Stegostoma tigrinum: one gene and its partners. The protein of the gene in region 4 interacts with the protein of the main gene of each other region in a pairwise test. Links are inferred from orthologs where the notes say so. Each region holds a gene or a part of one and is shown on either strand. Other genes may lie near its edges.

Evidence for each region.
Region 1: the proteins of THAP domain-containing protein 1-like (region 4) and zcchc10 interact in binary tests that used the Homo sapiens proteins (3 or more experiments, as listed by UniProt). The two-hybrid records come from large-scale screens. The link is inferred for Stegostoma tigrinum from reciprocal best matches to the Homo sapiens genes THAP1 and ZCCHC10.
Region 2: the proteins of THAP domain-containing protein 1-like (region 4) and phf1 interact in binary tests that used the Homo sapiens proteins (3 or more experiments, as listed by UniProt). The two-hybrid records come from large-scale screens. The link is inferred for Stegostoma tigrinum from reciprocal best matches to the Homo sapiens genes THAP1 and PHF1.
Region 3: the proteins of THAP domain-containing protein 1-like (region 4) and znf385c interact in a two-hybrid assay, tested with the Homo sapiens proteins (3 studies listed by BioGRID). The two-hybrid records come from large-scale screens. The link is inferred for Stegostoma tigrinum from reciprocal best matches to the Homo sapiens genes THAP1 and ZNF385C.

The regions. Positions count from the first base shown.
Region 1 is NC_081366.1:23,102,208-23,109,502, reverse strand, and holds the start of zcchc10 (zinc finger CCHC domain-containing protein 10), read right to left. Parts: upstream 3,012-7,295; 5' UTR 2,997-3,011; coding exon 2,956-2,996; intron 1-2,955.
Region 2 is NC_081387.1:17,109,980-17,117,526, reverse strand, and holds the start of phf1 (PHD finger protein 1), read right to left. Parts: upstream 3,019-7,547; 5' UTR 2,822-3,018; intron 1,938-2,821; exon of another isoform or gene 1,654-1,937; intron 1-1,653. UniProt on the Homo sapiens protein: Polycomb group (PcG) that specifically binds histone H3 trimethylated at 'Lys-36' (H3K36me3) and recruits the PRC2 complex. Involved in DNA damage response and is recruited at double-strand breaks (DSBs).
Region 3 is NC_081384.1:13,221,426-13,228,607, reverse strand, and holds the start of znf385c (zinc finger protein 385D), read left to right. Parts: upstream 1-4,174; 5' UTR 4,175-4,233; coding exon 4,234-4,255; intron 4,256-7,182.
Region 4 is NC_081354.1:16,648,830-16,656,284, forward strand, and holds the start of THAP domain-containing protein 1-like, read left to right. Parts: upstream 1-4,453; 5' UTR 4,454-4,493; coding exon 4,494-4,564; intron 4,565-7,455. UniProt on the Homo sapiens protein: DNA-binding transcription regulator that regulates endothelial cell proliferation and G1/S cell-cycle progression.

The DNA of each region.
Region 1 (7,295 bases), on a different chromosome or scaffold from region 4:
TCACCCACTCCAACCTCTCCCCCGCAGAACGGGCAGCCCTCCGCTCCCACCCCAACCTCACCATCAAACCCGCAGACAAGGGTGGCGCAGTGGTAGTATGGCGCACTGACCTCTACATCGCCGAGGCCAGACGCCAACTCTCCGACACCACCTCCTACCGCCTCCTCGATTATGACCCCACACCCGAGCAGCAAACCATCATCTCCAACACCATTCACGACCTCATCACCTCAGGGGACCTCCCACCCACAGCCTCCAACCTCATTGTTCCCCAACCCCGCACGGCCCGTTTCTATCTCCTTCCCAAAATCCACAAACCTGCCTGCCCTGGTCGACCCATCGTCTCAGCCTGCTCCTGCCCCACCGAACTCATCTCCACCTATCTGGACTCCATTTTCTCCCCTTTGGTCCAGGAACTCCCCACCTACGTCCGTGACACCACCCACGCCCTCCACCTCCTCCAGGACTTCCAATTCCCTGGCCCCCAATACCTCATATTCACCATGGACGTCCAGTCCCTGTGCACCTGCATTCCGCATGGAGATGGCCTCAAGGCCCTCCGCTTCTTCCTGTCCCGCAGGCCCGACCAGGCCCCCTCCACCGACACTCTCATCCGCCTAGCTGAACTCGTCCTCACACTCAACAACTTCTCTTTTGACTCCTCCCACTTCCTACAGACTAAGGGGGTGGCCATGGGCACCCGCATGGGCCCCAGCTATGCCTGCCTCTTTGTAGGTTACGTGGAACAGTCCCTCTTCCGCACCTACACAGGCCCCAAACCCCACCTCTTCCTCCGGTACATTGATGACTGTATCGGCGCCGCCTCTTGCTCCCCAGAGGAGCTCGAACACTTCATCCACTTCACCAACACCTTCCACCCCAACCTTCAGTTCACCTGGGCCATCTCCAGCACATCCCTCACCTTCCTGGACCTCTCAGTCTCCATCTCAGGCAACCAGCTTGTAACTGATGTCCATTTCAAGCCCACCGACTCCCACAGCTACCTAGAATACACCTCCTCCCACCCACCCTCCTGCAAAAATTCCATCCCCTATTCCCAATTCCTCCGCCTCCGCCGCATCTGCTTCCACGATAAGACATTCCACTCCCGCACATCCCAGATGTCCAAGTTCTTTAAGGACCGCAACTTTCCCCCCACGGTGATCGAGAACGCCCTTGACCGCGTCTCCCGCATTTCCCGCGACACATCCCTCACACCCCGCCCCCGCCACAACCGCCCCAAGAGGATCCCCCTCGTTCTCACACACCACCCTACCAACCTCCGGATACAACGCATTATCCTCCGACACTTCCGCCTTTTACAATCCGACCCCACCACCCAAGACATTTTTCCATCCCCTCCTCTGTCTGCTTTCCGGAGAGACCACTCTCTCCGTGACTCCCTTGTTCGCTCCACACTGCCCTCCAACCCCACCACACCCGGCACCTTCCCCTGCAACCGCAGGAAATGCTACACTTGTCCCCACACCTCCTCCCTCACCCCCATCCCAGGCCCCAAGATGACATTCCACATTAAGCAGAGGTTCACCTGCACATCTGCCAATGTGGTATACTGCATCCACTGTACCCGGTGCGGCTTCCTCTACATTGGGGAAACCAAGCGGAGGCTTGGGGACCGCTTTGCAGAACACCTCCGCTCAGTTCGCAACAAACAACTGCACCTCCCAGTCGTAAACCATTTCCACTCCCCCTCCCATTCTCTTGATGACATGTCCATCATGGGCCTCCTGCACTGCCACAATGATGCCACCCGAAGGTTGCAGGAACAGCAACTCATATTCCGCCTGGGAACCCTGCAGCCATATGGTACCAATGTGGACTTCACCAGTTTCAAAATCTCCCTTTCCCCCACTGCATCCCTAAACCAGCCCAGTTCATCCCCTCCCCCCACTGCACCACACAACCAGCCCAGCTCTTACCCCCCACCCACTGCATCCCAAAACCAGTCCAACCTGTCTCTGCCTCCCTAACCGGTTCTTCCTCTCACCCATCCCTTCCTCCCACCCCAAACCGCACCCCCAGCTACCTACTAACCTCATCCCACCTCCTTGACCTGTCCCCTCCCTACCTCCCCACCTACACTCTCTCCACCTATCTTCTTTACTCTCCATCTTCGGTCCGCCTCCCCCTCTCTCCCTATTTATTCCAGTTCCCTCCCCCCATCCCCCTCTCTGATGAAGGGTCTCGGCCCGAAACGTCAGCTTTTGTGCTCCTGAGATGCTGCTTGGCCTGCTGTGTTCATCCAGCCTCACATTTTATTGTATTAGAATTTTGGATGGGCAAAACTAAGTTGATCATCTGATACATAATTGTGTTGTGAGTTCTTCAAAAAGCCTAAAGTAGTTATACGACAAGGTCCAAGAGTCCCTTTAAGAACGCATTCCAACTAACCAGTCTTTGTTTTTAACGACCAGCGTTTCGTGGACAGCACTGAAGATTTTCGAAATAATCGTAGGATACGTTACAAACTAACCGAAACCAGATTTTGTTTTTAAAAATAATCAGAAAGACTTACAAACCCTGATCTGAGGTGACACTCGCTTACTGGGAGTTTAAAATACATTTCACTTGTGCGTGGTACTCTCGAATGATAATTCACATTTAAACGAGTTTGTAATGCGTCCCCACGCATGAGGATTAACGTCACCACTGAAACAGTCTTCATAACAGTCCTCTCCAAAGCCTTGGCGTCTTTCCTCGCCGCCTGTGGAATTTAACCACACTCCATTTCAAATGGGAAACATCTGGTGCTTGTGGCTGGAGCATCTCCGAGGCCCGGGGCTGAAGATGAAACCTGCCTCACACCTCCCATTTATTTTACAGCCCTCCCGCCGACGCTGCTTTTACCTCGAACCCATCTACCCACACCTTGGAAAGCAGCCACTTCAGTGTCGATAGAAGAACCTTTGGCGATTCTGGAAGCTGAATACTCACGCTTGTCTACGAGCGATCAATCTGTGCATAGGCGTCGCCATCTTGGTTTCCCGAAATGCATCGGGGCTGTCACTAAGCAACAGCCGTGAAGGTTCTGAGCTTCCTTGGGCCTGAGCATCCAACAAAACCAGATTCATCTCGTAGTCACTGGGGAGGGCTGGCCAAGACTACCATTTTCTCTTTTACGTTGCATTTCAAACCAAGCCCGCTCTGTTTAAGTCCTATTTAATTAGGGACCTCACATTGTTAGTGTGTGCTTTGCAATTGCTTGTGTATCATGCTATGAACACTTTGCCTACTTGAGGGATTGGGGTGAGTTGGCTGAATATTGGGAATTGGAGCTAAAAAAACACACACACATTTCTAATTGACCTGTACAGAGATGTTGTTACACACCCCTGCAATAAGGCTTAACAGTTGGTGTTGAGTTTCGTATGTTTTCTTTATTATTCATTCACGGGATTTAGGTGCCACGAAAACAGTACAAACTCAGGAACACTTGGACATGAGCGTATCAAAATTCAGTTTTCAGGTTTGACCTGGACGCCATCAATTCTAAGTGGTGCTGTGCTACTTTTCTGGTCTAGGAGGCTATGCTGTATTTGTTGCTTGACCTTAATTGTTCTTGAGAAAATGGAATGAACTATTTTCTTGAACATTGAATGTTGAGGGCTGATAGTTTTATATTCTCTTGCTGGAGATGGTCACTTCCTGGCTGTTATGTGGTGGAAATGTTATTTACTCCACTTTGTTGTTTGAGGAGCCATGAATGCAGTATCCAAATGCTTTCATAGACTGTATCATTGGTCATGCTAGCATTTGTTGCCCATCTCTAATTGCCCTTGAACTGAGTGATATGGAAGGTCATTTTGTAGGGTATTTGAGATCCAAGCACAGTGCCATTTTTGTGTGAATGGGGTTACAAATAAACCAGATCAGGTACAGAATGTTTTGTCACCACCTTTGGAGTGAAGCACAGCTTTTAAGAGCTTAACATGCAAATGAGCCAAGTACCTATCTGTGAATACATGACAACAGATGATGCAATGCAGCTATGTCATTTCGGAATGGAAGCCACAAATGTCTTACCTTTTGGAAGTGAGCAGACTAACAATAATGGAATTCAACATTGTGACCATCCATGAGTTCACCGACGTATCCATGGCAGCAGAACAATCAAGAATGCTCACATTGAATCAGTCTAGGATTTATACCAACTGTACCCAGGCAGATTCATTGCAGTAAGAAGTTTCAAAGGCAATGCCAAATTGAACTTCAAAGAAGATGCAGTTCCATCAATTGACCCTCCCAGAAAGTGTATTCACAAAGAAGAAATGCTTAAGTGTGAGTTAGATTACATGAAATGCAATAGCATTGCCATTGTGCGGATTACGACGAAGTGATGCAGTTCAGCTACGAATGAAGAATCATGCAATATTGTATACACATCTGAGATGTCTAAACCGCTTTTGAAAGAGATATCCACAAAAGATTCCAACACTAGAAGAGTTGAATCCTAAATTCGTAAGAGCTAAATTCTCCTCCAAGCTGGGAAATCACTACTTCCACAACACTATTTGGAAGATTTTGCACACAGAAGCCAACTTTCAGTTTGTTTTTCAGTCAAAAGATATTTCAGCAGCACATAAATTGAATTACAAGAAGTGTGCCTGAACACATATGCATTGATAATGTCCTTGTGGTAATAGGCAAAAGCAAAGAAAAGCATAATTGAATGCTTTGCTCACGGCATTTTCAGCAGCAAAAAGTGCCAGATGCATATAAATCAACTTAATTTTTTTTGGCTTTACGTGTTCAAGTTGTGGAATCTGTCCCAACTCAGACAACGGTGATGATATAAGACAAATGCCTACCCCACATAACAACAAAGACCTAGAGATGCCTTGGATTCTTCAATTTCTTGCACAATACAATCAGACCTTTCCATTAAAGTATTATCACTGAGAGAGCGCCCAAAAAAAGTCAAGCCATCTTTATACCAGAAGGACTGTTAGACCACTGAGACAATACATGGACTCTTAGATTTCTACACGTGTAAATTTTACAACTCTAATTCTGGAGAATAACTTCTGTTTTTAGCCAATGTTATGTGTTTTCACTTACGCCATTAGAAGAGCTATCTTTGGAACAAGGGGATATTAGCATCCTTAGAGTGAATCCCTTTAAAAGTTTAATTTAATGTAATGAGTTAAGTACCCAAATGTTGTTACATAACTATACACTCTCTGAAGCACTCTAGACCCAGGCCGTGGCTGGGAATTATCTGAATTGCAAAAAGTAGTTTAGCTGTAAATAAACTCACCATTGGTCTCTCAGTAAATAGAATCCATGCACTTTATTTATGTTAGTTCTCGATAACACAAGAATGTTGTTTTCTAGAGATAATGGGAACTGCAGATGCTGGAGATGTTATTTTCTATTTGTTTCCAAAAGGAAGCCATTCAGCTTTTTACAATGATCACGTTATGGCACTACTAGACTTAGCTTTTAATTGCAGATATTCTTAATTGGATTCAAATTTCACCATCTGCTGTGGTGGAAGTTGAACACAAAACTCCAGACCATTAACGTAGGCCTAACCTGGATTACTAACCCAGTGACAACGCCATCATACTACTACCTCCCTGAAACAACAATTGTTGAACATTTTACAATCATCAACAAACATCACCCCACTCCCACCATATGATTGAAAGAAGGTTATTGCTGAAGTAGCTGAGGACTCCTGCAGCTTTGCCCTGCGACTGAAATGATTGATTTTCAACAATTGCAACCATGTTCCTTCGTGGTCGGTATGATTCCAAACAGCAGAGAGTTTTTTCTCTGATTCCTACTGCAGTTTTCTAGGCTGCTGATACTATGATTGATTTGTCTTGGTGTCAAGGTATTTCATTCTCAACTCACACTGGTTGTCAAGGTTAAAGGTAAGATTCGTGGTTGACATTTGCATTATGGGTTAGTGCTATCATTATAAATCACTAATGGTCCAACGTTTTCAAATTGGCTTCGGGCAACATTTCTTTACAGTCTGTAATAAACATACTTCCAATTGAAATTCTACTGCTGTTCCAGGTAACAATTCTTGTTGTATATCAAAAAATTTGAATATTTTGCTATATAACCTCTCTATTGCTATTTCAATGAAGTGTAAATAAAGTTATTTCAATAGTGGCCTCTGCCATTGACCTTGTGCTAATTTTATTCAAAAAATAATACATAGAGGAAAGATGAAATTTTCTTTTTCATTTGTGAAATTAAGGACAAAGGCACACTGTGACACATTGTTTGAATTCCTAAAATTGAAATTGAGGAAGTTTGGGCAATTTGAAAATTTATCCACGTGCAATTCATATGCTGGTTCATAGTGAGTCAGCACAGTATATAATTGAAAAATGCTACTAATTGCATTTGGGTACAATGGAGAACTTCAGTCCTTTCAAACAGGACTGATGTGTCTAAGAATGAAGGCTACACATTTGGCTAAAAGCAAATAAGGTAAGAGAATAGAATTGGATAAATGATTTCTTTACCATGTTGGCATCAAGCATTTTTATGGTGTCTAAATTTTTGACTGGTGTCTAAACAGTGTTGTCTGTGTGACCTCAGTTCAGTGGACTATGCTGAAATTCACGAGATTGCATTATGGCATGACTGTGAATGAATTCATACTGAAAGTTGCATTCCATAATTGGAAGCTGTTTCCAACTGAGTCATACAGAATACATTCTCAAATTAAAGAACCTCTCTCATCGTTGTGGCCGGTAAGTGAGGTGTGGATTTTGAAATCCACATTATAGACATGCTAATGAGCAGTTTGAAAAACACTAAACCTAGCCCAAAAGTTTGAGTGAAAACAATAAGTTGACATGGAATGAGTCCTGTAATGAGGCCACATCCACAGAAATGGCAGAAGATAATTGCATGTGAACTATTTTCCTAAACCAGCAGCAGAGGTCCAACAGATTTCAGTGAGATATGGGTCACAGTTGTCATGTTCACTGTCTCTGAGTTAGAATTTTAGATGCTACTGCTACCATGTTGGCCATCAAGCATTAGTGCCCTGTTTCCAGCATACCTTTCGGAAGGTTGGTCATATTCAAATTGAATGTATGCGTAAAGGAGCAAGTAATGCTTCAGTTTATTGGAACTGTTGCAGCCATGCACCAAGCCAAGTTTGTAGTAGACTTAAACCTCATTCAGAGGTCTGGAAATCATCAAAGGTGCAGGAGATAGCTAAGAAAAGTGACGTTGATGTTATTATTCAAGTAGATCAAGAGTTGTTTTAAGTCAGAAATAAAGAAAAACAGCACATGGAAGAT
Region 2 (7,547 bases), on a different chromosome or scaffold from region 4:
TGGCCAATCAACATGTCATAGACATAGAACAATACAGTGCAGAACAGGCCTTCGGCCTTTGATGTTGCGCCGACCTATGAACTAATCTAAGCCCCTTCCCTACACTATTCCATCATCATTCATATGCTTATCCAAGGACTGTTTAAATGTGGCTGAGTTAACTACATTGGCAGGCAGGGCGTTCCACGCCCTTACCACTCTCTGAGTAAAGAACCAGCCTCTGTCATCTGTCTTAAATCTATCAGCCCCTGTACAAGGTGAAATCATCATCCTCGGAAAAAGACTCTCACTGTCCACCCTATCTACTCCTCTGATCATCTTGTATGTTGCAAATGCAGCCGCACTAGTGTTTTGCACAGTTGCAGCAAGAAAGAACCAAATATTTCTAATTGCTCTGACAGATGTTAGTTACAACACCAAGCTTCATAAATACCAAAGAATAGAATAGAAACTCTGTCTAAACTTGAAGCTATGTAAAAGCATAATGTATACTGCCTTTACTAAGTAAACCTCAAAATAAATAAAGGTCTATATTAAGTAAATAATTGGAAATTTAAAAACAATCCTTTTTGACAGGAATTTAATGAATGTTCACAAACGCACACAGCCTGTCATTATTTATCTCAAACAGCTAAAATGTCTTAACGTTTTCTTTTTCAGCTCAGCCTAACATGGCTAACTGATCACAAGCAGATGTATAAGGGGATTGGCTCAGAAGCAAAGTGTACAGTATCTCTAAATGGGTGGGAGTTAGGTTTTACAAATATTAATTGGTATTGTTAAATTAAATTTAAACTAAGTCAGAATGGTGAATCTACAGAATATCAATAGCTTCAGCCAATAATATATTAAGAACTGTGTACACTTTCTGCCCTCTATTTCTACTGTGTAGAGACATGCACAACTCTTCAATGCATACCTGTACTGCAAATTGTCTATGCTAAACTGCCTGTGCCTTTATTTCTTCTAAGAATGGGAGGCACCTTCCCACACCATATTCTACCAACTTCAAGGTTAAAATCTTTAAAATTAGCCTTTTGTAGGGTCACATTTGGTATGGGTGTCAATCACTGGGTAACATTTATTGCCCATCCAAACTGCCCCCAAGGCAGTAGTGAGCTGCCTTCTTGAACCACTGCAGTCCACATGCTGTCGGCAGATCCACTATTCTGTGAGGGAGGGAATTCCAGGATTTTGGTGGAACAGCGACATATTTCTAAGTCAGGATGGACAGTGGCTTGGAGGGGAACTTGAAGGTGGCGGTGTTCCCATGTATCCACTGCCCTTGTCCTCCCAGGAGGTAAAGGTCACTGAATTTGCAACATGCCGGCAAAGGAGATTTGACAATGCATCTGGTTGGTGGCACACATTTCCTCCACTTTGCCTTGGGAGTGGAGGGAGCGGATGCTTGTGGATGTGGTGCCAATTAAGCGGGGGCTGCATTTTCCTAGACTGTTGTCGAGCTTCTCGAGTGTTGTTGGAGCTGCACCTACCCAGGCGAGTGGCCATCATACTCCCTGACTTGCAAGTTTTCAACTCTTGTCTCACTGTCTTTTGGCGGTGGGGAGGGGGGGGGGGTGGGAGGGGGTGTCGAATTTCCACCATCCAATGAAAAACTGCCCCCTTATGTGCTGGACTCCCGGCTCTACTCACCCTGGTCGTTTTCAACGCTCCGAGTGGGATGCTGCTTGACTTCCTGTGTCGAAGGGAACGCGCACACAGTTTGCAAGCTGTCCACAGAGTTTAACCCTTGCGGAGCCAGTATCAAACCAGTTGATTCTGTGCTGCATCCCCTCTCTGAGGCCTGCGTACACCGTACATCCTTCCTGAATTGCAACGAACAGCGCTGGCTGGCCGTAATATCTGAAAGTGTGTGTGTGTTTTTGTTGGCCGGGTTTGGGGGGGGGGGGTGTGGAAGAGTCTCTATTCGAGTCTCGAAATGCAAATCAAAACAACGAGGCGGGCACCCCAGCCCAGGACCTTCCCCCTTCCAAAGCTGCATGCATAACACACTATCAAAGCGAGAGGCAGGTGGGCGTGTGCCTTGTGGCTGTTCTGCAGAAGTATCACCCCTTTTCCCTTATGAGGGCCGTGAGCGGATAGCTGATGCAAACTCCACGGGGAGGAAAGAATGTACAGTATGAAAAACCTCAGCATCCTTCCGCGCACCCCCCTTCCCGCCCCAACTCCTCCCTAAATACAACATGCAGAGAGAGAGAATATTGATCAGGAACAGCTTGCTCCCGTATGACACACACGTAGGGAAAGAGGGGATGATGTGGGCGGAACGTAGCGTACTTTTGGCGGTACAGACTCAGACGGGCCGAAGGGCCGCCTACTGAACCGTCTGATTCCTTCGGCCCCAAATCTGCCCCCGCCAGTGACCTGACGATCCTCGAGGAAATCAGACATTCCGCTGGAGACGAGGAAATGATACAACATTTTACTGTTCCGCAGATCTAGCGATTTGTGTGTCCCCTCACGTCTGCTAAAATCAACCTCTCCCTCCTGCTCCCATATCTTTTTTGCACACCGACTATATTTTTTATCTCGCTATTTGTAAAGGTGTACGGGGGGGAGTTGGGAAGGGAAGGCTCATGTATAAGGGAGAGTGTTGAGAAACTGACGCCCCCAGTTGCTTACACATTACAGGGCATGTTGCTGCAGTTTTCTCTCTCTCTGGCCCAGCGGAGGAAGTTCCAAAAAAAATTGCACGGAGGGCTTCATCCTGCCGTTTCTCTGGGGCATATTTTTCCTTTTTTTAAAAACCTCCCCAAGACGATAGGATCCCACCCCGCTATCTGTTACAGTAAACACTCACCTGCAGCGGCTGGCTCCACACCCAGTAATGAACTGCGGGAGTTTCTCTCCTGGAGCAGTGTGCGTGTGTGTGTGTGTGTGTGTCTGCACTTGGCTCATTCACAGTGAGGTTTTCAACTCAGATAAAAACACATACAACACGTCTCCAACAGCTCTGCCAGTCGCCATCTTCCTGTGACGCAGACTACAGCTAATTTCGGTCCACGGCTTGAAATTCAATCGGTGTGTGTGTGTGTGAGAGAGAGAGAGAGAGAAATTGTGTAAACAAGTGCGCGTTATGTTCGCCACACATTTAATACTGTTCATTGTCTTCCGCCCTGCGCTGTTGACAGCAGCATGATTGAATTATATAACACCCACTAGGAGTGCAATAAATAATTAGGGATGATTTATTTTACAAAATAATAAAAACACATGCTCCCCAGAAACCGTTTAGAACCACTCTGTATTTGCAGACTGTACACAACTTGTGGGATTTTGCATTTCGTTCGCCAGGGAAGGAAGGATCAGTGACGAGGCGGAATGAGTTGAAAGAACTTGACTTCGGTGAAACATTTCCCAGTCCAAACCCTACCCCACCCCGTCTCTCGGGCACTTCGTTGAATTCTGAGAAATTTTCTCCCCAATTAGGTCGCTAGCCTCATAAATACTTCAGCTTTGGGAGTAGACTGTAAACCTGTTTGATAAAGATCGTGAAATCATCGAGATGGGGCTTTGTGGGGCATGTCTACTGAATTTTCTTTCGCTTTGAAAGGCCACCCGTGCACGGGAAGATTCCCACACGCAGAAAGTAAAGACGGCACGGGGTACTTTGCAACACTTTATGTGAACGGACGGCATAGGGGCGGGGGGAATTTATAAGGTGACGAGGAAAAGGTGGGAAAGCTGTTTGGCATTTCTATCAAAGAGCTAGTACAGACACGATGGCCCGAACAGCCACTTTAATCGTTCTGACGATGGGTCACAACACGAAACGTTAGCTCGACTTTCTCTTTCTGCAGATGCGTTTCTCAGCCATTTCCTGTTTTTTTTTTCAGATGCCCAGCACATTTGTTTTAGTTTAGCTCCCCAACCCTAGTTCTTCTTTTGCAAAACGCTTTAAATCCGTGTCCTCTCGTTCCTGATGCTTTAAACAGTTCTGGGTCTTATCCAGATTATGAGAACCTCTCTCTGATGCCCCTTTCGCCTTCTTGCAGAGAACAGCCCCAAACGCTATTTTGAAAGGAGTCGGAAAAGATAACTATAGGCCAGTGACCTTAAGCTCTGTTCTTGGGAAAATGTTAGAGTCTCTTGTAAAGGATGTAATTACAGAGCATTCAGAAATGTATAATATGATCAAGCAGAGTCAGCATTGCTTCATGAAGGGGGGAAATCACGCCTAACAATATTTTTTACAACTCTTTGAGGAAACAACAAGCATGATTGATAAAAGGGAAACAGTGGATATTATACATTTGGATTTACGGAACATGATTGATAAGCTGCCACACATTGGGCCATTAAATAGCTGTCCATGGTGTGGAGAAGATATATTAGCGTTGATAGAGGATTGGCTCACTAGGAGAGGACAGAGAGTTGGGATAAGGTAGGGAATTTTCAGGATGGCAAACTCTAAATAGTGGTGTGCCACAGGCATCAAAGTGTTGGGGCCACAATTATTTATAATATGTATAAATGGCTTGGATGAGCAAAAGTACTATAGCCAAGTTTGCAAATGACACAAAGAATAGGTGGCAAGTTTGAAAATTGTTGAATTCAACTTTATTTACTTCATTAAAAAAAGCCAGAGCAGGATCTGTGATCAGTAAAATGATGACGAAGTTGTTGGGTTGTCATCATAATCCAACTGGTTCATTTGGCCTCCTGTGTCATCCGGCTCTACACCTTGTTATCTCAGATTCTCCAGCATCTGCAGTTCCTACTATCTCTGGTTCATTCACATTGTTTACCCAGTCTGGGCTGTATATAATCCCAGTCCTACGTCACTGTCAATACCATCCCCTGCCCAAGGGCCCACCGTGTTTGACTTTGAAACTGCCTCTGAAGTGCTCCAGGGAGGTTTATCAAATTCTCCTGCAAAGCAAAATGAAGCTTTATACATGACCAGACAAAAAGTTCTCCCTTTTTTGTAATTGTGTTCTATGAACTACTAACAATACAGGGATTGCTCCATCAAACAGCAGGTAGGAGAGCAAGAGAGAGAAGGCGAACTGTGGTGGCTTTGGATCGGGAGTTGATCCTCTGTGGAGTATGCTATTGTCAAATGTGTCTGGAAACCTGAAGTCACAGGCTGTTGACTGAGACAAAAGCCAAACATTTCGACGTGAAGTTCTGACAGGATGAAAGTCTCCTTTGTCAACTGTGAAGGTTCTGCATGAAATGAATTCGGGCAATCGCTCAACCCAGTTACTAATGGGCGATGGGCCAAGGGACAAGCTGCCCCAAAGCTGCCAGGGTGTGGAAACCGTGGGAAATAGGCAGACGTCGCACTGTTTTGGTGGAGTGGGTTGGTTATAGAGAGACAGTGAGATTTGCCCTGCGTCTAATTGTGGTACTCAATGCCAGCACTGGAGAATTATCTCATTCTCCACTTCTGACAGGCATCAGCACTGCAGCCAAAAAGCACACTTACCATGATGTCATTTTAAAAATCTCTTTCTGGAAAAAGCGTTTCTAAGGAACAGGGTCTGGCAATGAAATGAACCCAAGTTTTGAACAGGTAGAGCAATCACAAATTGGCAGGAATGAGGGAACCAAGGAATGATGTCAAAACAAGATATGGTAATAGCTGGAGGAGAACCATATGCCCCTTGAACAACTTCCCTCAGGGATCAAAGGGAACTCAAACCTGTACTGAATTGTTGGGAAAAAGAAAAATCCCTCAGACTGTTCAGAAGTGTGTTAAAGCCATTTCTGAAGTCTGAGAGTGTGCTGTCGGAATCTTGGCCATCAGTTCAGTCAGAAAATCACCAGTTTTTGGAGACAAGCTACACTAAGGGACAGAAAATATTGGTGGGAGTTGCTCAGTGATCCCTCTGTCAGCATTTGTCACATGGAAATCGGGAAATTAGACGTCCATGTAATATTGCTGGCTTTGGGGACTTTAAGCCTCACATTAAATGGAAAAGCTAAACTTGTATAAGCATGGAGGATGGGTCATGGAAAGTATGCAGGATATACTGAGGTGTCCACTAGGAAATAGATTATTTTGGGTCAAGTATTTCGCAATGATGGGAAGTGTCATTAATAGTATTGCAGTAATGAGGCGTCCAGGGAATAAGTGGTAATTATATGATAGAATTTCATAAAGATTTAAAGTAAATTAATCATGTTTGGAATTAATATTTTCTACAGAAGTGCAGAAAACCACCTATGTATGATGGTATTGTGATGAAAGGTTTACAGTATACGTTATCATTTTTGGAATTTGGTAACTAAAATAGAGATGAAGGGATTTTGGTCAGTTCTTTGAAGACTTTTCTTGAAAGAAAAGGTTGGAAAGTCACTCTGGAACAGTGACCTAAACGCATCATCGCTGACAAAATATATGATGCAGTCAAGTGTCTAACAGAACACTGATGGTGTTGTTATTGGAGAGGATGTGAATACTTCTGAGTTTCCCTTAGCATTCAAGAGAACTAGGCACCTCAGCAAGTATGTCCTCACCTGTGAAACCTCCAAGGTGGAAAAACCTATGCAGCCATCTTTCAGTCACTAGGACTGAGAAAATTTCAGCCCTCAGCATGGTGAAATGTTCATGCCAGTATACTCGGAAAGAGATTGTGGAAATTGCATGGTTTTGTTTCCTTCATTCATGGGAAGGAGGTGCCACTGGCATGGTCAGCATTTATTGCCCATCGCTGTTACTTTGTGGTGGATGTCGAGTCACACGCAGGCCACATGAATATGTAAGTTAGATTTCCTTCCCTAAACGGCATAAGTGAACCAGACAGTCTTTTTTTCCTGACAATTGATAATGGGTTTATGGTCATCATTAGACTTTTAATTCTGGACTTTTTTAAAAAGAAATTGAATTAAAATTCTTCCATCTGCCATGGTAAGATTCAAATCTAGGTTTCCAGAACATTACCTTGGACTCTGAATTAATATTCCAGCAATAATTCCACTAGGCAATTACATCGACTCAGAGAGGAAAAAAAGCTGGAAAGAATCAATTAAGTAGAAACTTAAATAGATTTAGGAGGAACATTTCTCTGGACTTGAGTCTCTAATGGGTCATGTAGCGAAATAGGTCGAGGCTTTGCTTTTGCTTCCAATTTCCACCCTGCTCTCACTTTCACCTGGTCCATCTCTGACTCCTCCCTTCCCTTCCTACACATCATTGTTTCCATTTCTGGGCTTAGGCTGGCCACCATATCCACCATAAACCCAGCGACACCCACAGTTACCTAGACTATACATCCTCAGACCTAAAGAACCTATTCCACTCGCCCCGTTTCTTCACCTCCGATGCATCTGTTCTGATGATGGCAATTTTGACAAGGGAGCTTCTGAAATGTCCACCTTCTACCTCAACTGAGGATTCCTCAGCACTGTTGTTGGCAGGGCCCTCAGCTGGGTCCAATCTATCTCCCATACTACAGCCCTCACCTCCTCTCTTCCCTCTCACAACTGCAGTAGGGACCCCCTTGTACTCACCTATTACCTATCACCCACCAGCATCCACATTCAGAAGATCATCAGACACCATTTCCACCACCTCCAGC
Region 3 (7,182 bases), on a different chromosome or scaffold from region 4:
GTGCTTACCACCAAGCTACTATGACATTGTTAACATATATCAGAGAGATGTGTGAAGCAGCATTTTGTTTTATTCATTTGTGGCATGTGGGTGTTGCTGGCTGGTCATCATTTATTGCAGGTGCCTGGTTGCCCTTGAGATGGTGGTGGTGAGCTGTCTTCTTGAACAACAGTAGTCCACCTGCTGCAGTTTGACCCACATTGATGTTAAGGAGGCAACAGGTAACCCAATAGATAGTAGGAACAGCAGATGCTGGAGAATCCGAGATAACAAAGTGTGGAGCTGGATGAACACAGCAGGCCAAGCAGCATCTTAGGAGCACAAAAGCTGACGTTTTGGGCCTAGACCCTTTGTCAGAAAAACTAGACCCAGAAACGTCAGCATTTGTGCTCCTAACATGCTGCTTGGCCTGCTGTGTTCATCCAGCTCCACAATTTGTTATCTCGGATTCTCCAGCATGTGCAGTTCCCATTATCTCTGACACAAAGAAGAGACAGCATTGTCAGTCAAATTGTGTTGGCAGTAGCTGGCAATGAGGGTGCAAATGTCTGAATGTTACATATGTGTAGGTGTTGGGGATGGAAGGGGAAGGGGTGAGGGAGGGAGAGACCTGGTACAAACTGAGATGCTGCTTGGCCTGCTGTGTTCATCCAGCCTCACATTTTATTATCTTGGTACAAACTCTGATCAGTTTTAACTGGCTATGATGCGGTCGGGCTGCACGTTGACGGTACTGGAGGATATTGTTTTTTCCACGATCTCTCTCGCTCACACTCTCAGTAAACTGATATGAAGATATCTGCAGCAAGGGAAATGGATGATGATGCTGGTAATAATGATGAGGTTCCCTCCTGTACAGGCTGACCGCCACCCACTCCCGGGTCACTCATGAGCGTACAGGTGGCGCGCGCCTGCAGGTATCGGTGAGGGCCGGGTGCCAGCGCGCGCACCCCTCCCCGCCCGGTCGCGCGCCCGTACATGCACGCGCCCCCGGGATGTGCTGCTGTCGGCGGCGCGCCTGCTGCTGCTCAGTCTGGGTTGAGAGACAATGTTAGAGGCAGCGAGGGAAACAGAGCTCGGGATCAGCGCTGGAGGTAGGGTGACTTCTTTTTCTCTACCTACAGGCACATATTTGTGCAGCTTAATTTTTTTTGAAGATCGCGTCAGGGAATAATCTTGCTTTTCAAAAAAGTACTACATTCAAAAAAAATAATTTCAAACAAAAAGAATTCAGATGTGATACCTTGCCAGTTAATCTTGAGTGTGGGAATAATCTCTGAAGAGAGTGGAGGCTTGAGGGAGTCCAGAAAGATTCAAGTTTGGGACGCGGAGAGAGTGAAAATGATGCCTTTCCAGCCCGATTTCAAGGGGAAGTTTATTTTTGCTGCCTTTTATTATCTGCAAGCATTATCTTTCACGGATTTGATTGCAGAATGACTAATCCCTCAGCACCTCAGAGATAAACTTGTGCTGTCGACCTCGTTATACACTTAAATGCATTTCGCATGATGTACATTATAGGTGTTATTTCTTCCTATAAAGGAGAGAATGTCTTGGGAATATTTGGTTGTATTCTGAAGCAATGTAGCGGAGGCGATGTAAATAACCCTGTTTTGTGAATCTCGGTTTTCCTGTACGCAAAAGTTTCACTGCAGGGAAATTGCATTTCATTAAAGAGTTTCTAAAATTGGTTCAAATCATGGAAGCCTTGGGGGATAGTGAGGGATGTCATCGCATTTCAAACAGCGAAGCAACTGGAAACGGTGAACACTTTTTTTTGCTTTCTGTTGTCGAACCAGTTTTCTGAAATACGTCTTTTGGTGAAATATCTTTCACACATCACAACTGCTACCTAAGGCGCACCTCTTGTTTTTCTCAAATAAAAGTATCTTCGAACTGAGAAGGAGCTCGTTTATTTGGAGGCTTCTTGCCCCCTCTGAGCCTATTTATCTCTGTGACTTGTGTTGAGACCAGTTGTGGTAATAAGAGAGACCCCTATAAGGGCGTACAGATATACACTTTGGTGATAATTTTGATGACATGTTTACCATTATGAAAATGACATACCAACTTTGAGTTGTTGACGTTTTTAACACGGTGAGTATTAAACCCAATTTTAACTCTAAGTACTCTATAATGCTTCTAATGGACGTGCTGGTTATCTTAACATGTCAATTGTATTATATAATAGAAACTTTTCAAACGTGCTGGATGTGGTTTCTTTTTAAGTTTTAATGTATTGCTTTTATAGTGGGTAGACATTAAATCTTTATATTCACAAAGAGGCAAATAAACATCCTCCAGGATTTTTCAGTACATTCCAAGCTCACCCAGACAATATTGCTGAGCAGAGGCAGGGAGAGAATTTGGGAGGAGAGAGTGCCTACACACTTCCCATTGGCTAGTGAAGACCAACTTATCAAATGTGATGCTGTTCTAGTTAATCATGAGTGTGTGAATGATCTCTAAAGAGAGCGGAGGCTGGAATGGTTCAGAAATATTCAGGTTTGGGATGCAGATAGTAAATATCGTGCTTCTTCAATCTGTTTTGATTGGCTGAGCCTAAAGGGCACAGATTTCTGTCTCTAGAATATTGGTGAATGCAGCCAATAGACCCAAAGACTCAAATGGAGAGGTAGAATTTATACAATCAGGTAGCAGCGTGAATGATTTGAGGTCTTAAATATATTCAAGTCCTGTACTTTTGGTTGGCTTGACATGTCTCACCTAATTTCAAGTTCCATTAGATCTTATCCCTAAATCAGGGAGTTGGTAGGTCGGTTTGGCTAGATGCTGGTTTGCAATGCAGAGTGACGCAAACAGCATGGGTTCAACAGCATGGGGATTCGCTGAGGCTACCACAAAGGACACACCATCTCAACTTCTCCCCTCACCTGTGGCATGGTGACCCTCAGATTAAACCAGCACTGATTGTCACTGGCTCAGGAGAGAGCAGCCCCATAGTTCTCTGAGTCAGATTCTGAAGATTTAGCCACAGAGTAGGAGAGGATTCCATTTGCATGAAAATTCAGCAGTGATGCAGTCACCCTTCCCAATGCAATAATTCTCAAGAAAGCAAAAGATCCTCCCATCTACTGTTTGTGCTTTTACTGGCACGTTTAATGTTTCTTCACGCACTTAAAAACCTACTCAAACATCAGGTCGTTATACACTTTTGAAAGAAGAAACCCCTAAGACTGCAAATTGGATAATAGATTGGTAGTTATCAAAGAAACCAACATGTCCTGTTGTCAATATAGAAGAAAAAACTCTCCCCATGAGGTTTACTGCCACAATCAAAACCCAGCAATTGGGCAATTTTAATGATCTTGAACATTCCGCTGCGTCTCCTGTCAGAATATTAGATCAGTGAGTTGATTAAGGTGTGCTGGGATTTTAATTATGACAATCAGTTGACATGTGGTGACATTGCTTGTCGGCACACCTAGAGTAAAGACAGTTCCCACTATCTTAACCAGTACGACAACAACGATTGAACAATCTGTTTGTAGCAATTCATTACCTCCCTGATATGAATGAGTCAACGAGGCTAAAATTAAAACTAAATTTTTGATAATTTATATCAAGAGAGTCTTCAAGCCACCCCCTTGCTCCTTCATGCTCACACTTTGGTCAGAAGATTAAGATCTGAAAATGACTGCTGGTGACATTATTAATAAATGGTTTGACATATTTAAACAGAGAGTGTTGCCTACCATCTAAATGTAGGATTAACCCATTTATTTTCAGTAACAGACAGGGGAATGTTATATGAATATGTTAAGTGTTTGCTGTTTCTGCCAGGAGGAGATTTTCAGTTTGAGAACATAAACAAGATGATATAATGTTTAAGAGGACACAAGTTAATATGTTTGAACCATAGGTTTTCAGATCTATGGTATTCAGAGTATATGAATGATCTTGCAGACTACATTTGTTATCAGCAGTGCCTGTCCCTCAGCTGAAGGATGATGTCTACTCCAGTGGGTCTTCACTTGACTGAACAGGCCAATTCTCAGCCCAAAGATCTTTCGAGTAAATGTGGCAGGATGTCCCATGAGGTAGCGGGATCTGGAGTGCAGGATTTGCTTCCTTTCCTTTCTTTCTCTGCCACTGCTCTGCCTCATTATTAAGACAATAGGAATCAAAGTATGATGCTGCTTGATGGACAAGCTATCACGATTTTGAACAATTGATAACAAGTTCCTCTCAGTCATTAATGTCAGTGATGCCATGCTTCATGGAGAGCTCCAGAGTGCGTTTGATTACATTTGTGTCATTTGGTGAAAAATAAGAACTGTATAATTTACTGTATAGTCTTTTTGTGTCACCTTTCTGGTTTGGCAACTATTATCATTACCTCTCGTCTGATTTTGCTTATCCATATTCTCTGGCATACTCTCTTAAAGTAAAGATGTTTGCGCCCTGCAAACCAATTTAGCAAACTGTTAAATTTGCTTAATTGCAATCATTCAAACATCATGATGTTTGGAAGCGCTTTGGAGGTGAGATGATGTATGTTTGATCTATGCCATTCTATTGGGGATGTAAACGATCCTTTGTTTGCTGCTCTGTTGTGCACAGGACATACTGGTGTAGAAGTCAAGATTCCAAGACTAAAGTCTTTTGTCAAAAAGTAAGAGATTGACTTCTTCATGAGTAACATTTTGGAGCGGTTGAAGCCCACTGTCTCCACTCATTTTGCTATCTCAGAGTTGTTCCCACTAGCTGTTCCCACAAATCCTGCCCCGAAAAGTACCACACAGCAGTGAAATTATAGCGTTGACATCATATGTTGATATGCTGAGACATGAAGGAATGGAATACTCATTTCCAATGGTGTGTTGTTCCATGATTCTATCAGAGCATCAGAGCAAGTTTGAGCTCGGTGGTCGGTGCATGGTAAGTACAAGGTGTTTGGATTTTTTAGGCGTAAAATTCTTTTTCTTAATTTATGCACAAGACATATGAAAATGACTTTGTTTGGGGGCAGAGGCTGGGACTGACAGAATCAACCATTACCTGAGTATGAACAGTATTATTTTGTAAACAATGTCAATGTAGGAATTTTTTTTGGATGAGATGTTAAATGAAGTGTGACTGCCTGTGCCAGTTGTTCAGGTGGCTGTTTAAAAATCATAATATGATATCAATAACATAAGATTATGACTGTTATATCAGTCCAGCACAGTGGCTACAGCCCAGAGGTTTTGTGTCGATGCAAAGTAAAATAAATGAAGCACTGGGGACTGTGACAGTATGGTGGTATGCAATCTGTCCCTGCTACCACTCAGCAGTAAAGACAATTTGATAATAAGTTTGTCCACTTTTCTGTTGGCACACTGAAGGGCTCCATTTGGTGCACGGGGGGAATACATGGATTTTTAAATATTAAATATTTAAATATTAATTTAAGCACACCAATATTATTTGCAGCGCAAGTTACTTCTATCTGCCTATATGATAAGAGCTTTAGCAACATTTTGTTGCAGCACTGTTTTTATTCCATATATATAGATGCTGATTATTTAAAATGGAACACTTGTTCCTTGTACAGTCATGGCCCTCAGAAAATGTTCTCCTCATGAAGCAAGGGCACCAGTAAACAGACCTAAAGTGGAAGAGCGAGCAACTGCATACTCAAAACCATGACAACAATTACAGAAGCAATAATTTGCCACCGCTTTCAGATAAGACCACAGTTTCTAATACATCACTACATCACCATCTGTCGCATTGCTTTAATCTGTGGTGATTCTCATCATATCCCTGTTTTCTGACCTTGTGTCAGCTGCAGTGCACATCATTTTGTTTCAGTGCTTTTTCAATCAAGAAGTTGTTGATCAGCTTTGGTGCAGAACTTTGGCACAACTGACTCAGCTGGCAGTATGTTCTGACAGAGGCATCAACCAGAATTCTGCTTGGTGATTCCATGTGAATTTGGATGAGATCACGGCAGGAAGGTACTGCAAGTGGTGAGCGTTATTATTGCCTCACTATGTACCCTTTATTTGCCTGTCCTAGCTGAGATCACTGCTAACCTCTCCTTCACCACCTATCTCATGAAATAATTGCTATAGGATTGAACTCCGGCCAGTTTATTTTCCATTAATAATTCCTGGGGCTGCCCAGAGGAATGCGATGGTAGGTGACAATAACAGCGTCTTGCAGTGTTCCTATGGAGCATGAGATGGTAGGTACGGCCGATGCTGGAGAATCTGAGATAACAAGGTGTGGAGCTGGATGAACGCAGCAGGCCAAGCAGCATCAGAGGAGCAGGAAGGCTGACGTTTTGGGCAGAGACCCTTCTTCAGAAATGGGGAAAGGGAAGGGGATTCTGAAATAAATAGGGAGAGAGGAGGAGGCGGATAGAAGATGGATAAAGGGCAGGATTAGTGGAGAGGAGACAGACATGTCAAAGAGGCAGGAATGGAGCCAGTAAAGGTGAGTGTAGGTGTGGAGTTAAGGGAGTGACAGGTCAATCCCGGGTGGATGGACAGGTCAAGGGGGCGGGATGAGGCTGGTAGGTAGGAGATAGGGGTGGGGCCTGAAGTGGGAGGAGGGGATAGGTAGGAGGAAGGACAGGGTAGGGAGTCAGGGACAAGCTGGGCTAGTTTTGGGATGTGGTCGGGGGAGGGGAGATTTTGAAGCTGGTGAAGTGCCCATTGATACCATTGGGCTACAGAGTTCCCAAGCGGAATATGAGTTGCTGTTCCTGCAACCTTCAGGTGGCATCGTTGTGGTACTGCAGGAGGCCCAGGATGGACATGTCGTCTGAGGCGTGGGAGGAGGAGTTGAAATGGTTTGCGACTGGGAGGTGCCTCCCCGGCTGTCCTCCGTCAACATTATTTTTCCAAAGCAGTTTTGCCCTCCAGGCTTCTTGATATGAACTGTGAAATACACAATCAGCTCAGGGAAACTGACCAAAGAATGACAGAATTATGAAGGTGGGAACTGTCTATCTTGTCAATGCCAGATTTTCATTTCAATATTGCAAAACTCATCAACCTTGCTCTCTCCTTATAGCTCTTTATCTCCATCTGCTTGGGGAGAGGCTTGGGGACTGCTTTGTGGTACACCTACGCTCGGTTCACAACAAACAACTGCAGCTCCCAGTCACGAACCATTTCAACTCCCCCTCCCATTCCTCAGACAACGTGTCCATTCTGGGCCTCCTGCAGT
Region 4 (7,455 bases):
ACTCATATTCCGCTTGGGAACCCTGCAGCCCAATGGTATCAATGTGGACTTCACCAGCTTCAAAATCTCCCCTTCCCCCACCGCATCCCAAAACCAGCCCAGTTCGTCCCCTCCCCCCACTGCACCACACAACCAGCCCAGCTCTTCCCCTCCACCCACTGCAACCCAAAACCAGTCCAACCTGTCTCTGCCTCCCTAACCTGTTCTTCCTCTCACCCATCCCTTCCTCCCACCCCAAGCCGCACCTCCATCTCCTACCTACTAACCTCATCCCACCTCCTTGACCTGTCCGTCTTCCCTGGACTGACCTATCCCCTCCCTACCTCCCCACCTATACTCTCCTCTCCACCTATCTTCTTTTCTCTCCATCTTCGGTCCGCCTCCCCCTCTCTCCCTATTTATTCCAGAACCCCCACCCCATCCCCCTCTCTGATGAAGGGTCTAGGCCCGAAACGTCAGCTTTTGTGCTCCTGAGATGCTGCTGGGCCTGCTGTGTTCATCCAGCCTCACATTTTATTATCTTGGATTCTCCAGCATCTGCAGTTCCCATTATCACTGATAAAGGACATCTGCCTGCCAACAACTATGTAATTGGTTTGAAGATAGCTTTAGACATCCAGAATGGCTTTATCTGTCTCTCTGCGCAGTAAAAATGAATACAGGTACACCCAAACCTTAAAGAATTTCATTTTATTTTTTCCTCACCCATTAGTATAAGCTGTGGCTAGTAACCAGTAAGTAAGAGACTTTGCAATTTGTGAATCAGTCACTCTGTGCTTCCTGCAAGAAGGTGAAAGTGCCTGGAGGGGAGAGAATGGAGAACACTAAGTCCTGACAAGGAAAAGGATCATTTCATGGAACCCTGTGGACAAGAACCAAATACCTGTTTTCTCAGTTTTTCCCCTCCACCCATGATCCTTTTTGTCCAGCTATATCTGTCTGTATTTGCATGTCAGGGAGTTTTATAAGGGAATCAGAATTTTAACTAAAAAAAAATCCCATAAGAGCCAAAATGGGCAGCACAGTGGTTCAGTGGTTAGCCCTGCTGCTTCCCAGTGTCAGGGATCCGGGTTCAATTCCAACCTTGGGTGACTGTAACAATCCCCCTGATTCTGCGTGGGTTTCCTCCAGATGCTCTGGTTTCCTTCCACAGTTGAAAGATATGTAGGTTAGGTGAATTGGCCATGAGAAATTGACTATGGTGTCCAGGGATGTGCAGGTTAGGTGGATTAGCCACGGCAAATGGAGGGTTATTGACATAGAGTGGGGGTGGATCTGGGTGAGATGCTCTTCAGACGTTTGGTGTGGAATTGATGGGCTAAATGGCCTGCGTCCACACTGCAGGGATTCTGTTTCAATTTCTGCTGGAGGTGCTGGAAATCTGAAACAAAAACAAAAAATTGCTGGTAAATCTCAGCAGGTCTGGCAGCATCTGTGGAGTGAAATCAGAGTTAATGTTTCAGGTTCAGTGGAGGCAAAGGTGCTGTGTGGCTGTGGGGGTGTGTTGGGAGTGAAGGAGGAGCTGACCAGGGAGTCTTTGAGGGATTAGTCCTTGCAGAAGAAGGGAGAGCAGGGGAATATGTGTCTGGAGGTAGCATCCTGCTGGAGGTGGTGGAAATGGTGACTAATGATCCTCTGGATGTGGCTGTTGGTGGGATGATAGGTGAAGACAAAGGGAACGCTATCATTGTTGGGGGAGGGAGGAAAGGAGCTGAGGGCTGAAATGTGAGAGAAGAGTTGGACCCGGCTGAGGACTGTGTCAACTGTGGTGCTGGGGAATCCACATTTGACAAAGAAGGTGGCCATTTCGGAGGCCCCATTATTGAAGTTGGCATCATCAGGACAGCTGCAACAAAAATAGAGGTACTGGGAGAATGGAGTAAAGTCTTTACAGGAAGTAGGTGTGAGGATGTTTCATCAAGGTAACTGTGGAAATCATAGAGCCAAATAGCACAGAAACAGACCCTGCGGTCCAACTAGTCCATTATCCTAAAACAGACCAATCACCCCTGCCTCCATTTTGCCCATAACCCTCCAATCCTTTCCTATTCATGTACTTATCTAAATGTTGTAACTGTAGCCGCAACCACCACTTCCTCTGGAAGTTCATTCCACACATGAACCACTTCCTCTGTAAGGGTTTGGGGTGGATATTGGTGGCCAGTCTATCCCCAGAAATGGGAACAGAGATGTTGAGGAATGGAGGGAGGAGTCAGAGATAGGCCAGGTGAAGGTGAGACTGGGGTGGAAATTGGAAGCAAAATGGATAAACCTTTCCAATTCCAGACAAGAGAGGGAAGTGACACCAATTACATCATTGATACACCAGTGAAAAGGTTGTGGGTGGTGGCCGGAGTTGGTTTGGAATAAGCATAGTTCCACGTACCCCACAAAGAAACAAGCAAAACTGGGTCCCAATCAGGTACCCCTGGCCTGCCCTTTGACCTGAAGAAAATCAGAGGAGTTAAGATGGAAGTCATTCAAGGCGAGGACAAGCTCAACAATGCTGAGGAGGGTGGCAGTTAATGGGGACAGCTCAGCACTTTCATTCAGGAAGAAGCAGAGAGCCTTGAGACCGTCCTTCTGGGGAATTAGACGTGTAAAGGGATTGCATGTCCATGGTAAAATAGTTTTAACTGGTAGTATTATATGTCGTCAGTTCATACTTGTTTATACATCGCTAGAAACTGTTTAGTTGTAATAATTAGTAATTATTGTTGCATACAGAAACCTGGTCCATGCTTTCTGTTAGCCTGGATCTAAAAGGTAGGTGCATTGTGGAGTTTATACTTTGATAAAATTTTTAACTTTTGTGAAGACTCTGAGACTAATGGAGCTTGATTTCCAGCGTGCTACCTTGGTGAGGTGTTACACTATTTAGTCATCAACACTTGTATTTGTTTTGTACACGTTTGTTAATAATGATTTTTAGTTTTGAAGTTTCAGTTCCACCCTGAAATCTGTTGTTTATTTCCTTATCCCTGGTTCTTCTGTGGATTCTAATATTTTTGTAATATTATCATCCTTTATGACGTTATGGTGTATTAATGGAAAGCCAATTGGATACTTCCATGGTTTCTACCACACAGGTAAAAATGGAATCAAGCAACATCCATCCCTCCCTGTGCACAATGGACTAAGGGCATTTAAAGGAGTTCTTGTGTTCTATCCACTCAATGTTTGCAGCCAGACGAAGGATGAGGAAGAATAGAAATAGAAATAGTCAACAGTGACTTTGATTAGGGCATTTCAGTACTGTTGAAAGAAAAAAAGATTAGAGACTACAGAAATAGAAGAGTTTTGTGTGGTCATGTGAAGATAACAGATTTAGTGTGAGCAAGGGAGAATTGTTCTGGATGAGAAAGAACAATTTAGAGTATCTGCAAATATGAGAGAAACAAAGTGAGGGTAGGGATTATTTAGATAACGGTTTGATGTGAATAGAGTCAAGGGTATCATGAAGAAGAGCTTGGAAAGGAGAAAACTAGATAGAGGATAATTCAGTTCTGAAACAGAGTCATATCACATTCAGTTATTGGAACTCAACTATTGGAATCCCAGACTTAATGTCAACTATGTACCAAATACAGTGGTTGTGCATTACAGTTCAGCCTGGCATCTGACTTGCTGTGGCAACATGCACATAGTATGTAACTTTGGATGGTGACGTTGGAGTCTCCAACAATCTGTGCATCCTGACCAGGAATGTCCCTTACACTTGTTGCATGCCACTAATGTGTGTTGAATGGTTGATACTCAAAATGGCCATGTTAAGAATGTACATTCCTCGGCTATGAAATGGGTGTGGGACCAGGGACTTCTGTCTCACAGCCACTGTCTCACAAGAATTTCTTTATACCCAGTGCTGGAGCAAACAGAGCCGGGCTGGGTGACCTGCTGTACTGCAAAAATTCTAATTTCTCCCTCTGTTAGATAATATCTAATAAATCAGTTCAGAGGTGTTACAACACACTTCTGAAGCATGCAACTTTTACCCAGTACCACTGTCCCCCTTTACCCTGAAACTCACCCACAATGTGTGTCAGGGTAGATGCAGTCTCAAAAGGGCCTGTTGTGTTGCAGTTAGTGTCCCTACCTCTGAACCAGGAGGCCCGAAATTCAAGCCTGAGCCACTCCAGAAGTTTGCAACGACCGCTTTGAACAAGATAACTTTCATAACGTATCAGAGATGACGGGAACTGCAGATGCTGGAGAATTCAAGGTAACAAAGTGTGGAGCTGGATGAACACAGCAGGCCAAGCAGCATCTTGTGCTCCTAAGATGCTGCTTGGCCTGCTGTGTTCATCCAGCTCCACACTTTGTTACCTTTTCGAACGGAATTATTCTGAATAGGGATAATTCCAGCCAATCACAGCCTGGGTCGGTCCAGCCAATCAGAGTCATCACCTGTCCAACCAGTCAAAGCCGTGATCTGTCCAGCCAATCAGAGCCAGGATTGCTGTCAGGTGCATAGCGGGTGAAGGGCTGTGGAAATGGTGCTTTCCTGTTCGGCTTATGGCTGTAAGAATCGGTATGATAAGGATCGGGGAGTTTCTTTCCATAGGTACGGAGAGTCGACTGGCTATGCCTGTGTCTTTTTTTGTTTGCGAGGTTTCAGCACCACTTTAAAGCGATAAAAGTTCGACGCTAGCCGGCCTGGTTTTAGACGGGGCGCAGTGAAGAGCGGGGGGAAGGAAGAAGAAAGAAGAGGAGGAGAGTGGTGTACACAGCGAGGGATTTCAAAGGGGTGTGAAGGCAGAGAGATATTGGTTAGCGGTAGGCTGGGGTTGGGGAGAGTCGGTGAGGAAGGGATTACGAAGATGTTTCCGGACCGTTGATTGAAAAAGAGGAGGTGGTTGAGGTGTTTGGGAGTAGAAGGGGTTTCAGAAGAATGTTGTTTCAACGGTGTTCTCGAGGAAAGAGATTGCGGAAATACAGACTGTCTGTCACTTGTGAGAGCCGCCTGGTGTTCTAATTTTATGTTCAAGTGTGAAATTGAGCTATTGTTTGACTCGTGTGCATCCTTGTTAAGTGCTGGCACTAGACTTCGGTCAGACTCCAGACACCAAAGCACAGACTAATAGTTCACTGCAGAACTGAGGATGTGTACGTTATTTGATGGATTGCCTCTTGGATGTGATGTTAAGCACAAGCTGTGTCTTACCTTTTAAGTTGGATGCGAGATCCCAAGGTTATGCTGATCTGATCAATATTTTAATCCTTAATCAAGACCCAAAACAAATGATTATCTTAACTTTCGTTTCATTTCTGTTTGGTGACCTTTTGTTGATTGCTTCATTTGCCACACTACAGTAGTGATTAGATTTTAAAAAGTACTTAACTGGCTGTGAGATAGCAAGGTGTCAAGCTGGATGAGCACAGCAAGTCAAGCAGCATCAAAGGAGCAGAAAAACTGACGTTTTCAGCTTTCTGAAGCTCAGACCCGAAAGCTCTATATGCTGTTATCTCAGATTCTCCAACATCGGTAATTCCTACTATCTCTTAAAAGGCTCTCAGTTGCTTTTTGATTGTGAAGGAGCAAGTTAAATGCAAACTCTATTGTGCTCTTCTTTCTTTACTTGTTTTTTGAAGAGGTGAACATGACTCTGGTCTCCATGCCATGAGAAGGAGGAAATAAATAATGGATTAGTTTAGTATCAGAGATAATGGGAACTGCAGATGCTGGAGATTCCAAGATAATAAAATGTGAGGCTGGATGAACACAGCAGGCCAAGCAGCATCTCAGGAGCACAAAAGCTGACGTTTCGGGCCTAGACCCTTCATCAGAGAGGGGGATGGGGGGAGGGAACTGGAATAAATAGGGAGAGAGGGGGAGGCGGACCGAAGATGGAGAGTAAAGAAGATAGGTGGAGAGGGTGTAGGTGGGGAGGTAGGGAGGGGATAGGTCAGTCCAGGGAAGACGGACAGGTCAAGGAGGTGGGATGAGGTTAGTAGGTAGCTGGGGGTGCGGCTTGGGGTGGGAGGAAGGGATGGGTGAGAGGAAGAACCGGTTAGGGAGGCAGAGACAGGTTGGACTGATTTTGGGATGCAGTGGGTGGGGGGGAAGAGCTGGGCTGGTTGTGTGGTGCAGTGGGGGGAGGGGATGAACTGGGCTGGTTTAGGGATGCAGTAGGGGAAGGGGAGATTTTGAAACTGGTGAAGTCCACATTGATACCATATGGCTGCAGGGTTCCCAGGCGGAATATGAGTTGCTGTTCCTGCAACCTTCGGGTGGCATCATTGTGGCAGTGCAGGAGGCCCATGATGGACATGTCATCAAGAGAATGGGAGGGGGAGTGGAAATGGTTTGCGACTGGGAGGTGCAGTTGTTTGTTGCGAACTGAGCGGAGGTGTTCTGCAAAGCGGTCCCCAAGCCTCCGCTTGGTTTCCCCAATGTAGAGGAAGCCGCACCGGGTACAGTGGATGCAGTATACCACATTGGCAGATGTGCAGGTGAACCTCTGCTTAATGTGGAATGTCATCTTGGGGCCTGGGATGGGGGTGAGGGAGGAGGTGTGGGGACAAGTGTAGCATTTCCTGCGGTTGCAGGGGAAGGTGCCGGGTGTGGTGGGGTTGGAGGGCAGTGTGGAGCGAACAAGGGAGTCACGGAGAGAGTGGTCTCTCCGGAAAGCAGACAGGGGAGGGGATGGAAAAATGTCTTGGGTGGTGGGGTCGGATTGTAAATGGCGGAAGTGTCGGAGGATAATGCGTTGTATCCGGAGGTTGGTAGGGTGGTGTGTGAGAACGAGGGGGATACAACTCCCCCTCGTTCTCACACACCACCCTACCAACCTCCGGATACAACGCATTATCCTCCGACACTTCCGCCATTTACAATCCGACCCCACCACCCAAGACATTTTTCCATCCCCTCCCCTGTCTGCTTTCCGGAGAGACCACTCTCTCCGTGACTCCCTTGTTCGCTCCACACTGCCCTCCAACCCCACCACACCCGGCACCTTCCCCTGCAACCGCAGGAAATGCTACACTTGTCCCCACACCTCCTCCCTCACCCCCATCCCAGGCCCCAAGATGACATTCCACATTAAGCAGAGGTTCACCTGCACATCTGCCAATGTGGTATACTGCATCCACTGTACCCGGTGCGGCTTCCTCTACATTGGGGAAACCAAGCGGAGGCTTGGGGACCGCTTTGCAGAACACCTCCGCTCAGTTCGCAACAAACAACTGCACCTCCCAGTCGCAAACCATTTCCACTCCCCCTCCCATTCTCTTGATGACATGTCCATCATGGGCCTCCTGCACTGCCACAATGATGCCACCCGAAGGTTGCAGGAACAGCAACTCATATTCCGCCTGGGAACCCTGCAGCCATATGGTATCAATGTGGACTTCACCAGTTTCAAAATCTCCCCTTCCCCTACTGCATCCCTAAACCAGCCCAGTTCATCCCCTCCCCCCACTGCACCCCACAACCAGCCCAGCTCTTCCCCC